3 linked regions of the Kluyveromyces lactis genome follow. The protein of the gene in region 3 interacts with the protein of the main gene of each other region in a biochemical or structural test. Links are inferred from orthologs where the notes say so. Each region holds a gene or a part of one and is shown on either strand. Other genes may lie near its edges.

Region 1 (5,328 bases), on a different chromosome or scaffold from region 3:
TCTTGCGTGGTGATCTTGTACATCTGAGTCAAATTAACAGAACCAAGCTCTTCAATGTAAACGGGACGACCATCGTTGTCGGTCTTGTGATAGTATTGTGGGTAGTATTTAGCGACAAGCGGTTTCTCTTCGTAATGGAAATCTTCGAAGATGGTGTCAACACCAAACTCTTTTCTCCATTTCTCACAGTTCTCGTACATGATCTTGGAAGCCTCTAGATCGAACTTACGAGCCCTTAGGAAACGCAACAACGTCGAGTCATCAAGTCTTTCCTTATATCCCAATGATTCTAACAATTCTCTAAATTCCTTCAACTTGGCTTCTTGTTCTGAATCAAGATTGCCTGGTGTTCCAGACAATGATCCACTAGGACAAACCTGGGGGTATGATTCTAAAATTTCTTGTTCACTTACCATGATGACAGGGCTCTATCTAACTTCCGGCGTGGGGTCAACTTTTGGTTTAGCTAAATGCAATGGTATGAATTTAGATCAATCAAGGAACGAGACACCTTCTTAAACAAGTGTGCTAATAATAATCCAACTGTTGAAAATGGGAATTTGAAGTTTGCTTCTCAAAAATATTACCTGTATAGATGCAAAAACTATAGATATCTAAAATGAAGTCACTCAGAAACAATATTATGAACTAGTAACAACGAAAGAGGAAACTGTCAATTAGAAAGGTAACCTTTACCACATTTTCCACGCATTTCTTAATGGTTAAAAATTGTTTATATTCCTGCGTTTTGTATCTGCGTTTTCTGCAGTTTAAACCTTAAGCCACCGCCAACAAATGCAGGGTAACTATTTTGGTGAAAGCAAATGCGTAGCATACCGTAAGAGCAAAGCGTCAGGTGATCGATGACAAGACCATGCAGAATGTTCATTGTATAAGTCGGTTGTTGCTAATGCTACACGTTGAAGTTTATATGTATATATGTGTCTTGAATTTTATAATAAAGTATGTTTTAGTAATAAAGTCGTTTCTCGAAAACTGTTTGAATAAAATGTGAAGTAGAGTCAATAACGTAAAAAAATGTACCTGAGATGCCTGAACCATTGAATTATCTATTCGTTGCAAATTCGTTGGTGTTATACTGTCATCTGTTGCTATTTATTTGATACTGAATATCGATTTACCACCGCATTCATTGTGGTGATGGACAATTTGTTTCTTTCTCTTCCGTGCTGCAAGAGTGGCAGAATTCGCTAACGCAGAACCGCTGTTCCTGGACGCCACGGACGAGCTCCTGGAAATAGAAGCGGAAGAATTCGATTTCAAAATTGAGTTTGAGCCATTGGTATTCGTAGAGTCATCAGGGACCATTGAATTAAGCGACAGCGAACTGAGTTTTTCTTCCAGCTCTTTAGGCTTTCTAGATTCTTCTTCTTCTGGTTCTTTCCCCTCTGCTACTGAATTAAGTATATGTCCTGGTTCCATTGCACTTACAGGAATTGGATGTTCTTGTGTTCCAATACTGGGAGAGGATATCCCCTTCTCGTCATCGTCAACATCCTTCGTCTTTTCCTCGTCTAGAGTGGGTAAAGTAGGAGCAACTGATTGTTCGGCAGAAGCATTGAATTTTGGAGATCCGTTAGCGGAACTTGACGCACTACGTCTGTTGGCCTCTTCTTCAGCAATGAATATCATGGACTTGGATTTGATCTTAGGGCTCTTCAAGTTAGATTCCAAAAATGGGTTGGTAGAATGTGATAAACCTGAATTTTCTTCGTTGAAAGAGGATCCAGTAGATGGGATATCGTGTGGAATTGGATCATCGTCTGTAGTAGCTTTTCTCAATTCCGGCACCTTGATTGGTTCTTCTTCATATTCTTCGAAACATGATTCAATTTTAGCCATCCAAGGGTCGTTGAACAGATCATCTATAGTATATCTTGTAGAAGCATCAGGATCCAATAACCGTAGACACACTCTGCTTGCCTCTACACTTCCTAATTTGCTGAATTCCGGATGTTCTGCACCTGGGCCTGATCTATAAACACCAGGTTTCCTAAAATGTGGGCTATGTTTGTTGAATTGCTCGTAAAATGCAATGTAATGTCTATATTTGGAATCATCCTTGTGTGCTTCGGCGAACAAAGCAAACGGACAAACAAGGTTGAACATCAATATACCTAGGGCCCAAGTATCCATCTTGAACGGATCGTATTCTTCTTTATCCTTGGGCACCGGTATAACCTTCTTCTTCTTTTCACTTAGAATCATAACTTCTGGTGGCACATGTGGTGGAGAACCACAATATCCTCTAATCTTAATTCTTTCACTGGTAGGATCTTCAGGGTCCTTGATACCGTACGTGGAGATACCGAAATCCGTTAATTTTAGGGCACCGTAGTCTGTCACTAGGACGTTTTCCAACTTAATATCTCTGTGAGCGATACCTAATGAATGCATATGTCTGATACCTCTTGCAATCTGTTTGAAGCAACACCATTTCTCATCGAGCGGCTTTGTAGCCCACCCTGATAACGTCGTATAATGGAACATGTCTTGTACGCACTGCTGCATCAAGAAAGCCCAGCTTCTCTTTGGACCATTGGAGACACTTGGGGTCTTCATGATATAGAAAGTCTTGATAATGTTGACATGGTTACTCACTTTCTTGGCGATCATGAATTCCGTGATACAACGGTGGTAGAAATGATCAGGCGTCTCGTCTTTAAACAATTTGAACCTTTTCAATGCGTAAACTTGTTTCTTGCGATATATCGAATGAACCGTCATCACCTGGGAGGAACCACCTTCACCCAACGTTTTCCTACCAGAATCAGCGAATGCAAAGTTATCCGTCAACATTACACTAGGCTGTTGCATGGATTCAGGCAAAAAGTCGTTCGGATTCTTCAAGGGCAACGGTAGAATGTTTTCACCTTTGGCATCACCCTCGGTCTGATAGAAACCCAACGACGTAGAAGACGGCGTCGCAGACGCAGAACTTGGCGAATGATACGCCTGTGACACCGTTGGAGGACGCGAGTGCACGTCAAGGGATTCAAGAGGTATCCTTCCGTTAGCGGAATTCAGGAAAGGGTTCGTATTATGCGACGCAAGACTGGGAATAGCAGAAGACGACTTTATAACGTGCATATTCGAATTCATATCACGATCCTTTTCCCTATCCTTATGCAACAGAGACGCCCCTCTAGTACGAGACTTACTCTCCAATTTGGGGGACATCCGAGGTCTCAACTCCCCGCCCGATAAGAACGGATTAGACCCCAACTGTTTGCCCTGTTCCACATGATGGGACTTGGACCGTCCAAAAATCTTCTTCAAAGGGTTCTTTGAATGCGAGGACGACGGAGTCGTCCCTGCTCCTGCTCCTGCTGCAGCAGGAGCATCGCCAATTGGCGATCTTCTTAAGGATCGCACAGATGAAGAACGGATAGGAACTCCATTCCCATTTCCGTCAGATGACGTAACTGCCTTGGCACCAGGAGTTGTCTCCTTCTTATGCAACAACTTGGCCATAGCGACTTTTTCCGACGAAGGTGTAGAAGACTTGATATCGTCCGGTATCATAGACCTGGAACTGGATAGCGTCATAGCTCACTGTCTCACTGTCTCGCTGTGTCACTTTTCCTCTTGTATTGAAGACCAAAAGATTTATAACCTTTTTCCCTTAGTCTTTTTCGCTCTATTTTAAAACGTTCGATAAATTCTGTATTCTCAATATGCCACTCTCTGTAATACTAATTCGAAAACAAAAAAAAATCAAAAAAATCAAAAATCGATAATCAAAAAGTAAAATGAAAAAGAAAATGGAAATGAAGAAAGAAGAGAAACCGAGATTAAATATTGGAATGAGAGGGGGGTGGAGAGGAGAATTTAAAGCGTCAATTGAGATTAGTGAGATTAGCAGCTCGACTCAGTCAGGAAAGAGACAAGGCGGATGCGGCGGGAAAATGTAGGGTGAGTGAGAGGGAGAGTATGTGTGAGTCAGCAGCTTCAGTTATGCAGAAGGCTTCTTCGTATTTCAAGTCAGGCACCTGCTCGGGTTGTCAGGGCCCGAATATTGTCCCAATATACACGTTATTGTATACATATTGACTATCTCTGTCCTATCTGTCCTATCTACTATGCATATTATATATATATCAATTTCGCCATATGTCGCCAGACATTGCCGTATTATCATTCTCACTGTGCTATATCTATGCTTTTTCCGCTTCTCTGGGGTATAGTGAGAAAATCAGGGAGGGAAAATGAGGAAGAGTCAGGGTAACAGTGTACACTACTAGCACATGCATGTGTTGGCGCATGTGGTTATACATGTGGTGGTGCCAGTACCATGTGTATGGAATGTCTGTGAAGAATGTCTTCTGCTATGCCAATGTAGTTCTTCCTCCGACCTCTTGGGAGGCTTCTCCTGAGGGCATCTTTCCCTCTCTATCTCCGATGAATTTCTGGTATATATGGCTTAGTTTTTGTAATTCATGAGTCGAAATGCTGGGTTTCGCTTCTTGACATGCGTCGAGCATGTCGTGCGTGGATATGGTTGGTTTCACGGATTGTACCGATTTGGAATTGCCATTCAACGTCGTAGCGTTTTCGAGTAGTTCTGTGATTCTGTCCATAGTTTCCTTGGTAACGGGTTTATCGCCTAGTGAGATGTAGTCTAGTTGTTGTTGTTGTTGTTGTTGTTGTTGTTGTTGTTGTTGTTGTTGTTGTTGTTCTTGCATGGCTGAAGGCTGGCGATCCTCTTGTGTTTCCGCGTCTAAAGACCTGTGTACTGCTTTCAAATATGCATTGTAACTCATACCTTGCAAATCAGCACCGGTGAACCCTTCAGTTCTTATTGCTATCTCATGTAGATCCAAATCATCCTCCGTGTCCATCTTCAACGTTACAGCGCGTAATATATCCTCTCTTTCTGTGACATCTGGGATGTCACATATCACACTCTTGTCTAGACGGCCCGGTCTTAGCAATGCAGAATCGATAAGGTCCGGTCTGCTAGTGGCCGCTAGCACGTACACTCCATCGAGCCCCTCAGCACCGTCCATTTGGGTCAACATTTGGTTCACCACACGGTCAGTAACCCCGGTAGAGTCGTGACCTCTCTTTGGTGCAATGGAATCGAACTCATCAAAAAAGAGGATACACGGTTTCGCAGCCTGAGCTCTATCAAAAAGATCTCGTACGCTTTGTTCTGATGCACCGATGTACTTGTTCAAGATTTCTGGACCCTTGACGCTGATGAAATTTAGCCCGCACTGTTGGGCCACTGCACTGGCCAACATTGTCTTACCACAGCCGGGGTACCCGTACAACAGTATACCTGACCTCAACCTTAGTGGGGAA
Region 2 (4,233 bases), on a different chromosome or scaffold from region 3:
TGCAGATGATCTGTCGAATCCAATACATTCATGGCAGATCTTTCATTCATAGAGATATTAAACCGGACAATTTCTTGATGGGTGTCGGAAGACGTGGATCCACCGTGCATGTTATTGATTTTGGTTTATCCAAGAAGTATAGAGATTTTAGAAGTCATAACCATATCCCATACCGAGAAAATAAGAACCTTACTGGTACTGCACGTTATGCCAGTGTCAATACGCATCTTGGGATCGAACAAAGTAGACGTGACGATTTGGAGAGTTTGGGTTACGTGTTGATATATTTCTGCAAAGGGTCCTTACCATGGCAGGGGCTCAGAGCCACGACAAAAAGACAAAAATACGACCGTATCATGGAAAAGAAATTGTGCATCACCGTCGAACAACTATGTCAAGGTTTACCTATGGAATTTGTTGAATACATGAGATATTGTAGGAACCTCAGATTCGATGAAAGACCAGATTATATGTATTTGGCTCGTTTGTTCAAGGATTTGTTCATCAAGTTGGAATACCATAATGATCATTTGTTTGATTGGACCATGTTGCGTTACACAAAAGCCATGATCGACAAACAAGGAGGCGCCCAAGCATTGGAACAAAAAGATGAAAATGGTAATAAACAGGATTCATTTGATAAAGTGAAACAATTGGCTATGAAGAAATTTTCAACACATTTCCACTATTGGAAACCAGATGATACTTCTCATCCAACTGCTGAAGACATAAAACAACAGACTATCCTAAACACCCAAGTTATCTCCACGATCCCAGATGAAGTCATGAATGCTATCGACAGAAACATGGAACAGTTGAAGCACGAAGTGAACCAACAGGTGGCGTCTCAACCACAACAAGGACAACCACAAGGACAAACTCAGGGACAAGGACAAACTCAGGGACAAGGACAACCACAATCAGGTCAGCAACTAGATACACAGTTACCTCAACCTACCACGTTACTACAACAGCAAAGGGCACAAGTTCAAGGTCAACAAGAACAGATGTTACAACAGCAACAACAACAACAACAACAACAGCAGCAACAACAGCAGCAACAACAGCTTCTGCAACAGCAACTGCAAACACAACAACAAACGCATCCAAATGCAATGGCTATCACCAACCCACTACCAAACCCTAATAACACCACCAAAACTACCACTACCAATAATATCTGGCTTTAAACGCAAAAGACGAAAACAATGCGCAAACAGTTGCAAAATCTGTAGAGTAGAAAAAATCACACACGCTCATACATATATACAACTCATCATCAGTTAATCATGGGCTTCTAACCCACATTGGTTATAAATTATAACTCGGAAATCTGTTACCTAATTCACACTTATATTTCTTTCTTATATGTACTTGAATAGTGGAACATGGGGGAGAACACACACAGGGATTTTCTCACCAACATGAGCAACCATGAAAGTAAGCTGGTTACTGAATCGGCAGCTGACACAGGTTTACGGTACTCGCAGTTCACAGCTCATTGTTGCTGCTGCTGAAGTTTCCCTCCTCATCCTTGGCAAGGCCATTATCGCAATATACGAATTCCACTACTAAATATCGAAAAAGGGTTTCTGTTCCTCACATGAACAGTGAATTGTGAAAAACTAGACCAAAGGAAAACTAACAACAAAAGGAGAGTCAACTGTGGTGAGAAAAAGAGAGCAATCTAGGGCGCATTGAGTCTTGAAAAAGTGCAATATCCATATAAGACTATCAGTCCAAAGCTATAATTAAGGCAAAAACTGGTTTGTCCCATTTTGTACTGTTTATTCATTAGAGTAAACTAGGGGATTTTGACCCCAAGGGAAAAGGAAAACAAGAGGATGGAATATCAGCCTGTGAATTTACAACAGATGAATACTGCTCCAGCTCCTGCAACCAATCCTGTGAATCCGGCGGATGTGACCGTGGGTTCACAATCTACCGATTATTTATTGGCTCAGCAGAAGGAATCGTTGTTGCCTCAAAGGTCTACTGTGTCTAAGGGGAAATATACGTTGCATGATTTTCAAATCATGCGTACATTGGGAACAGGGTCATTCGGTAGAGTGCATCTCGTGAGGAGTGTGCACAATGGACGTTACTATGCCATCAAAGTTTTGAAAAAACATCAAATCATTCGAATGAAGCAAATTGAGCATACGAATGATGAAAGACGGATGTTAAAGCTGGTTGAACATCCTTTCTTAATTCGGATGTGGGGTACGTTCCAGGATTCTCGTAATCTATTCATGGTTATGGATTATATCGAAGGTGGTGAATTGTTCTCGTTGCTCAGAAAATCCCAACGATTCCCCAACCCTGTGGCTAAGTTTTATGCAGCAGAGGTGACTTTAGCTTTGGAATACTTACATTCTCATAACATAATATACCGTGACTTGAAGCCAGAAAACATTCTATTGGATAGGAATGGGCATATCAAGATAACGGATTTTGGGTTCGCCAAAGAGGTAATCACAGTGACGTGGACGTTATGTGGTACCCCTGATTACATTGCTCCTGAAGTAATTACAACGAAACCATATAACAAGTCTGTTGACTGGTGGTCTCTTGGAATCTTAATCTTCGAAATGCTCGCTGGTTATACTCCATTTTATGATGTTACGCCAATGAAGACCTATGAGAAAATCTTAGCTGGTGAAGTCGTTTATCCACCATTTTTCCACCCTGATGTTGTGGATCTATTAGGTAAGTTGATCACTGCAGATTTGACCCGTAGATTAGGTAACTTACAAAGCGGGCCAGATGATATCAAATCGCATCCATGGTTTGCGGAAGTTATATGGGAAAAGCTTGTGGCAAAGGACATCGAGACGCCGTACGAGCCACCAATCGCTGTCGGTGTCGGTGATTCCTCTTTGTTCGACCAATATCCGGAAGAGCAACTGGACTATGGCGTTCAGGGCGAAGATCCATACGGCCAATACTTTTTAGATTTCTAACGAAATCTTCAAAGAAAAACATAACTCATAATCGATTCATTTTTGAACGGATCGTTCGTGAAACTACCTCTTCTTTTTACTTTGTTATGTCGGTCGGATTGCGTTTATATATATATATCTTAATCTTAAGAGTTTATATTAATATATTTTTGGTTATTATTATGTACAGGAAAATGAGAAGAGAACTCGTTTTGACATGGGGAATTTACATGCGTGAGGTGTTCGACGTATCTGTCTATTCCAAGACAATCTTGGCACCTAGCCCTTCCAATGCAGCCTTAACCTTGTCAGCGTCTTCCTTAGCGACGTTTTCCTTCAAAACCTTTGGAGCACTTTCCACAAACTTCTTAGCTTCAACCAATGACAAACCTAACAAGTTCTTAACTTCTTTGATGATCTTAGGCTTAGACTTGGCATCAAACGATTCTAACTTGATGGAGAAAATAGTCTTCTCTTCAACGACTTCTTCTTCCTTGGCTTCTTCAGCTGGAGCAGCTGGGGCAGCTGAACCAGCACCAGCTGCTGGGAACGAAATATCTGGGATGTTCAATTGAGTCTTCAATTCTTGAATCAAAGCAGAAGTTTCCAATAAAGTCAATTTGGAGATATCTTGAACGATTTGAGAAATCTTTGGATCAACCGCAGCAGCTGGAGTAGATGTACCAGCAGTCGATTGATAACGAACCAAACCTAATCTACAACTGTTCCTTGCAAAAACGCCGGATGATCTTACCACTTGACGCAACATTTTTTCTTTTATATTATTCCCAAACCCACCTGTGATAAAAACTGCTGTTCTCGGTTAGATTCAAGATGGAGAACTAATCGTGAATGTCAACAGTACAACTCCACAATCTGTTTAACCTGTTTCGATTGTTCAATGGAATTGTCTTTAGGTTTAAAGCTTTTTTCCCAAAATTTTTCAGCTAACAGATGATAATCGTACGGAGTGATAGATGCTGCTAACACTTTTCGACATTTGAAAAGCTTCGATTGAGAACTAGGAAAGGATCCAGAATTTGAGCCATGGTTTTGATAGGAATAAGAGTGTATAAGAAGTGACTCTGGTTTAAGTGGGGTCAAAGTTGTTTGTTTTGTGGTTTAAAAGCAACATATTGTTGTGTACTTGTAGTTTTTAAGAGAAAAACGGTTAATTTTTAGTGGTTTCACTGGATTGAAATACTCCAAGAACCGGATTTTGTTAAGAGAGAGGAATAGACAGACGATAGATAGTTGATAAAAGATAAAAGTGTATCATAATGACTACGTT
Region 3 (4,599 bases):
GAAGAAATAAGCAACTCCATACCTTTTATTCAAATACTAGACAAAACGTTGTTTTATTTTATAAATATCTTTTAATCAAATTATCTTTCCGTCATTAAGAATTAATGTCACCGCATCCCCTTTCTCAATAAGTTTCCTGTTTGGTAATTATGAGACATTGTCTACCGTGTAAAAAAACGTATAAACTATAATATTTTACATCTAATTCAAATTATCAGATTATCAATTTGTCTAATGATATTATGGAACCTTATACGATCCTACTTATATTTCAAAGTGTCACTAGTGATGAGATGCTTTGAAGATTGGACGTTTGTGTATTAAAAACGGTTGATTATATATACATATTTGTGTATACACTCAAATGATGTGTTATTTGATTCTCAAATTTAACGTAGTAAGTAGTAGCTTAATGCGCTAGTAATAAAAACAGAATTTATTCCTCCTATGTTAAAAGTTAACCTAATTTAATCGAACAAACCGAAACCCATGTCATCATCGGATTCTTCCTTGGCTTCTTCTTCCTTTTCTTCAGCAGCAGCTTCTTCGGCACCGGCAGCAGCACCACCAGTAGCAACTGGAGCAGCACCACCAGCACCAGCTTCGAACTTGACCAACAAGTCCTTGATGTTTTGCTTAGCCAAAGCCTTAGCAAAGATATCAGCCCAGATACCTTCAACTGGGACGTTGGCAGCTTCAGTCAAAGCCAACAACTTTTCAGAAGAGACTTCGATATCAGCATCAGCCAAGATCAAAGCAGCGTAAGACAAAGCAGTTTCAACAGACATTTCTAATGTAAAATTTCCTGGTTCTGGCAAGTGTAGAGATAATCAGATTAAGCTCGTAATGAAGCAGACTATTTCTTTGGTCCTTTGAAAATAAGAGAAACTAAATAATAAAACGATATAAGTAATAAGAATATTTCATAAAAGAAGCTTCAAATTGAACAAATGCCATCATGTGTAAAACAAATACTTTTCCTATCGAAATGTTAAATGGTTACTCCTGTAAGTTTTATTGATATTTCACATCTCATCGTGGAAAGGTGAAAAATTTCAGGAAAAGCTGCGTGGTTTCGTCAGGCATGATAATTCGTGTGATGTGATATAATGTTTCTGCATGAAACGCTGGATGTACAGAGTCAGCGTAGATGTACAAGGGAGAATCCCTGATATTGAGTCGGAGTGAGTCCGCAGATGGGTGCTATATTCCACATAATATTCTATGTTTTATAAACATATATATACTCGCGCGCAGTGTTACTGATGAGTGTACCTTGTATCTTAAGGTATGATGCGAAAGTTATGGGATTGTTAAAAGATGCATGCAAAGTGAAGTAATTTGCGAATGTGTTGATTGTATCTGTCGTTAGTCGTGAAGGTAATGAAGGAGACAGCAGTGCAGGAGAAAATGCTTTCAGTTCATGAAATAAGCTCCAAATTAGGTTAATGATCCTGCAAACTTAGTTTGATTGCTTGTTGGAGCATTTCGTCATCCAGTTCTTCTAATGTTTTCTGACGACGTTGAGGACTATTCCCTCCGTCAGGGCCTCCAACTGAAGAAGAAATGGATGCGTGTCTAGAAGGGTGTTCGGGATCAATTAATTGATTACTCATGTGTATTGCAGTAGCTTTTGCTGATCTTCTAGCGAGTCTTAATCTTTCTTTGGTTAGATTGATCTCCCAGTCAGGTCTTATAGAATCGGATGTTATCACAGACGGATCATCGGCTGCTATTGAGCCCCTACGAATTTGTTCTATAGTTACGAGTTCGTCATCTTCATTGCTGCTAGAATCCGATACTAGGCCTTCACGGTCCTTGTATTCGGCAATCTTGTATTCGGAAGCGTAGATCCCGTTGATTCCAGTCCGCACGTCCCTGCGCGGTTCGTATGTTACACCAAACTCTGCAGTGGCACAGTAAGGGCAATTGGCAGGTTCACTGACAAGAAGGTTGGGATCCTTCAATTCGTCCGGTTCTTGATCTTGAGTTGGATCTACCTCTTCATGCGGGAAGTGTGGTGCGGCACGCTTGATTTGGACGAAGCATTCAGTACAGATCGGTTGCTTGCAACATCTGGAAATATTCAAAGGCTTAGGAAAGTAGAGGAAACATATTGGACATTCTGCTCCATTTTTGTACAAAGTATATTTCAAATCATCACTGGGTAAAGCCGGGTTCTTTGCTTCCGTATGTTTTTTGTTCATAAGTTTCAGCTCAAGATACCGTTCATTTGCCCTCTCCTGCCAACCAACTCTTTTGAAATATAACCTTGCCTTAGAAATTTTCGACCTTTGCCTTCTTTGTTCCCTTTTCGAAGCGGTACTATCCAGTAGATAGTCAAATTCGTCATCGGCTAAATCACCGGTCGGAACTCCCTCAAATTCTTCTGGGTCCTGTTGAAATGAACAATGCAAAGGTAACCCATCAACAATTTTTATGACCTCTTCTCGAGTCCAAGTCTGATCAAATTCTTGCAATGGTGTGTAAAAGGGAGCCAACCTCCTTTCTATAATTAAATTTTTAACTATATCTGCTTCATAGTCCAACTTATCGAAATTATAACATCCAAAAGGTGCTAAAAACCCACCATCCACAGTTTCGTTGTACTTGACCACAAGTTGTCTAGCATGCTTCTCTTTGAGCTTCTCCTTCTCCTTCAAAGACTTCTTCTTGTACGGATTCGGACTGTTGCCGTTGTAACCGTTAGCACTATTATAAGAGTCTGATCTCGCTCTCCCACTAGCACTTAACAAATTTCCTACCAAGGAAGTAGCCCTCCTATTCCGGTTAAGATTTTTTGGGCCCTGAGATCCAAAATTTAAAGACTCTGACCGTTGCTGCTTCCTATTTGCAGGGTCTTGAGGGCTATCAATTTTACCTGGAACATTTCCCATGGCTGGTTTAGATATTAGTGTATATATCCCTCTGTTTCTGATCCTATTAAATTCTGAGGTTCTTCACTTATAAGCGGTAAAATAATATCTAACTTTCCACACAACGCTAACCGGATACTGTAACTTCTGAAACAATGTATACGCAATATAACTAACACACCTTGTTATATGACTCAGTTAATCTATTGTATCTGTGAAGTTAGAAAAAAACCGTTCCTGTGTTCTCCCTATATAATGGAGTTTTGTCTCCTATAGAAATAAAGGGACGTTTTTCTTATGATGGAATTTTTGATTTCAAACCAATTTATTGCTTTATATAGCGACAAAGAGAAACCAGAACATTTGATATAACACATAGTGAAAGCCTCCTGTCTAATCCCGAACATGCATAAAAAAGTCCGAGTGACGAACTGGGAGTTAACAATCTCCAACCTTGTTCGGTGGAAGATATGAGATGTATATATGTATGTAGCTATTATCCCGAAATTCATTTCGGTCGAAAGCGTCACGATACGCAGGCATATGGCATTAAGTTGGAGGTAGAGTACCGGAAATTCTGTCTACATCGGGATACGCACTGTACTGTATTTCTAAAGTTTATGGATAACAATACAGGAGTTTTGATAGTGACACTGAAAAAAGATGTAACTTACATATGGGTATTTGGTATAATAGTGTGACTCACACAGTGAAAGAAAACTAGGTTGAAGAATAGTTGGACCAGGTTTTTGGATAGATTCACTTATCATTCCTTATTATTTCTTAGGTATATATCTTTACATTAGGAGCGAGGCGAAGTTAATGAGATATGAGCCGGGTTTTCATCAATGCTGACCGAGCAGAAAGTAATGACAGCTGATAAGCTTACAGCAGATGCTCTACAATGCCGAAAAAAGACGTACATATATATATCTACTTACTGGGCCGGAATTTGTGAGTTACTAAGAAAATCTTACTACGTTGATGTTAATGTAGGACCCTTAACTCGGCCTTCTATTTTTGACTTTCCTGCTGATATTTTAGTTTCGATCACTTTGTTAATAATATACATTTACGCGAATAAAAACAGCTTAAAGGTTCAAAGTGTCAAAAAAATATTAGGAAAAAAGGAACTGATTTGCTTGACACATAACTGTTATGATGAGACATGGAGTTTTAAAGAACAAGTACAGAGAAGAGGTGGCACAATACGTCTACGTATGTGCCGTTATATAGTCGTTAGAATACTTAGCACAGCTGAAGCCTTCTCAGAAATGGCCTTCAGCCTTTAGTAGAACGGTCATATCATCAACAGACTTGGTAACTCTTTCCACAATGGTGGAGACATCGTCTTCGGTGATGATGAATGATGGTGCCAACAAAGCAATATCACCAGAAACACCGTCGATGTTTCCTTGCATACCCATGACAGTAATTCCATTTTCGAAACATACATCTTGGAAACGGTGACCAACGTCAAGCTTGTATGGGAATGGTTCCTTTGTTTCTCTGTCCTTGACAAATTCTAAGGACCAGAATCCACCAATACCTCTGACATCACCGACGATGTTATCGTAAGCTAGCAGAGATTTCTTCAATTTCTGACCCATCAAGTTACCCTTTTCAAAGATGTTTTTAGTTAAATCGTTATCCAAGATCTTCTTTTGCACACCAAGGGCAACGGCACAGTTAAAACCGTGAGATGCATAAGTGTGGGAACCGA

What was found. The genes of interacting proteins can lie anywhere in the genome.
Region 1: the proteins of SIP5 (region 3) and PTK2 form a complex in vitro, tested with the Saccharomyces cerevisiae proteins (2 studies listed by BioGRID, with this or other methods). The link is inferred for Kluyveromyces lactis from reciprocal best matches to the Saccharomyces cerevisiae genes SIP5 and PTK2.
Region 2: the proteins of SIP5 (region 3) and TPK2 form a complex in vitro, tested with the Saccharomyces cerevisiae proteins (2 studies listed by BioGRID, with this or other methods). The link is inferred for Kluyveromyces lactis from reciprocal best matches to the Saccharomyces cerevisiae genes SIP5 and TPK2.

The regions. Positions count from the first base shown.
Region 1 is NC_006038.1:575,520-580,847, forward strand, and holds PTK2 (protein kinase PTK2), read right to left. Parts: upstream 3,571-5,328; coding exon 1,117-3,570; downstream 1-1,116. Other genes in the region: KLLA0_B06479g (phosphatidylinositol/phosphatidylcholine-binding protein), read right to left, coding at 1-416; PEX1 (AAA family ATPase peroxin 1), read right to left, coding at 4,350-5,328. UniProt on the Saccharomyces cerevisiae protein: Essential determinant for high-affinity spermidine transport. Required for the activation of the plasma membrane proton pump PMA1 via phosphorylation of 'Ser-899'.
Region 2 is NC_006040.1:266,089-270,321, forward strand, and holds TPK2 (cAMP-dependent protein kinase catalytic subunit TPK2), read left to right. Parts: upstream 1-1,844; coding exon 1,845-2,963; downstream 2,964-4,233. Other genes in the region: serine/threonine protein kinase HRR25, read left to right, coding at 1-1,190; MNP1 (mitochondrial 54S ribosomal protein bL12m), read right to left, coding at 3,199-3,711; DNA-directed RNA polymerase II core subunit RPB9, read left to right, coding at 4,223-4,233.
Region 3 is NC_006041.1:1,966,848-1,971,446, forward strand, and holds SIP5 (Sip5p), read right to left. Parts: upstream 2,898-4,599; coding exon 1,446-2,897; downstream 1-1,445. Other genes in the region: KLLA0_E22001g (60S ribosomal protein eL13), read left to right, coding at 1-10; RPP1A (ribosomal protein P1), read right to left, coding at 468-788; KLLA0_E22089g (uncharacterized protein), read right to left, coding at 4,145-4,599. UniProt on the Saccharomyces cerevisiae protein: May negatively regulate the SNF1 kinase by promoting the interaction of the REG1/GLC7 phosphatase complex with the kinase. Deletion of SIP5 promotes resistance to artemisinin, which is probably an indirect effect of an action on the electron transport chain.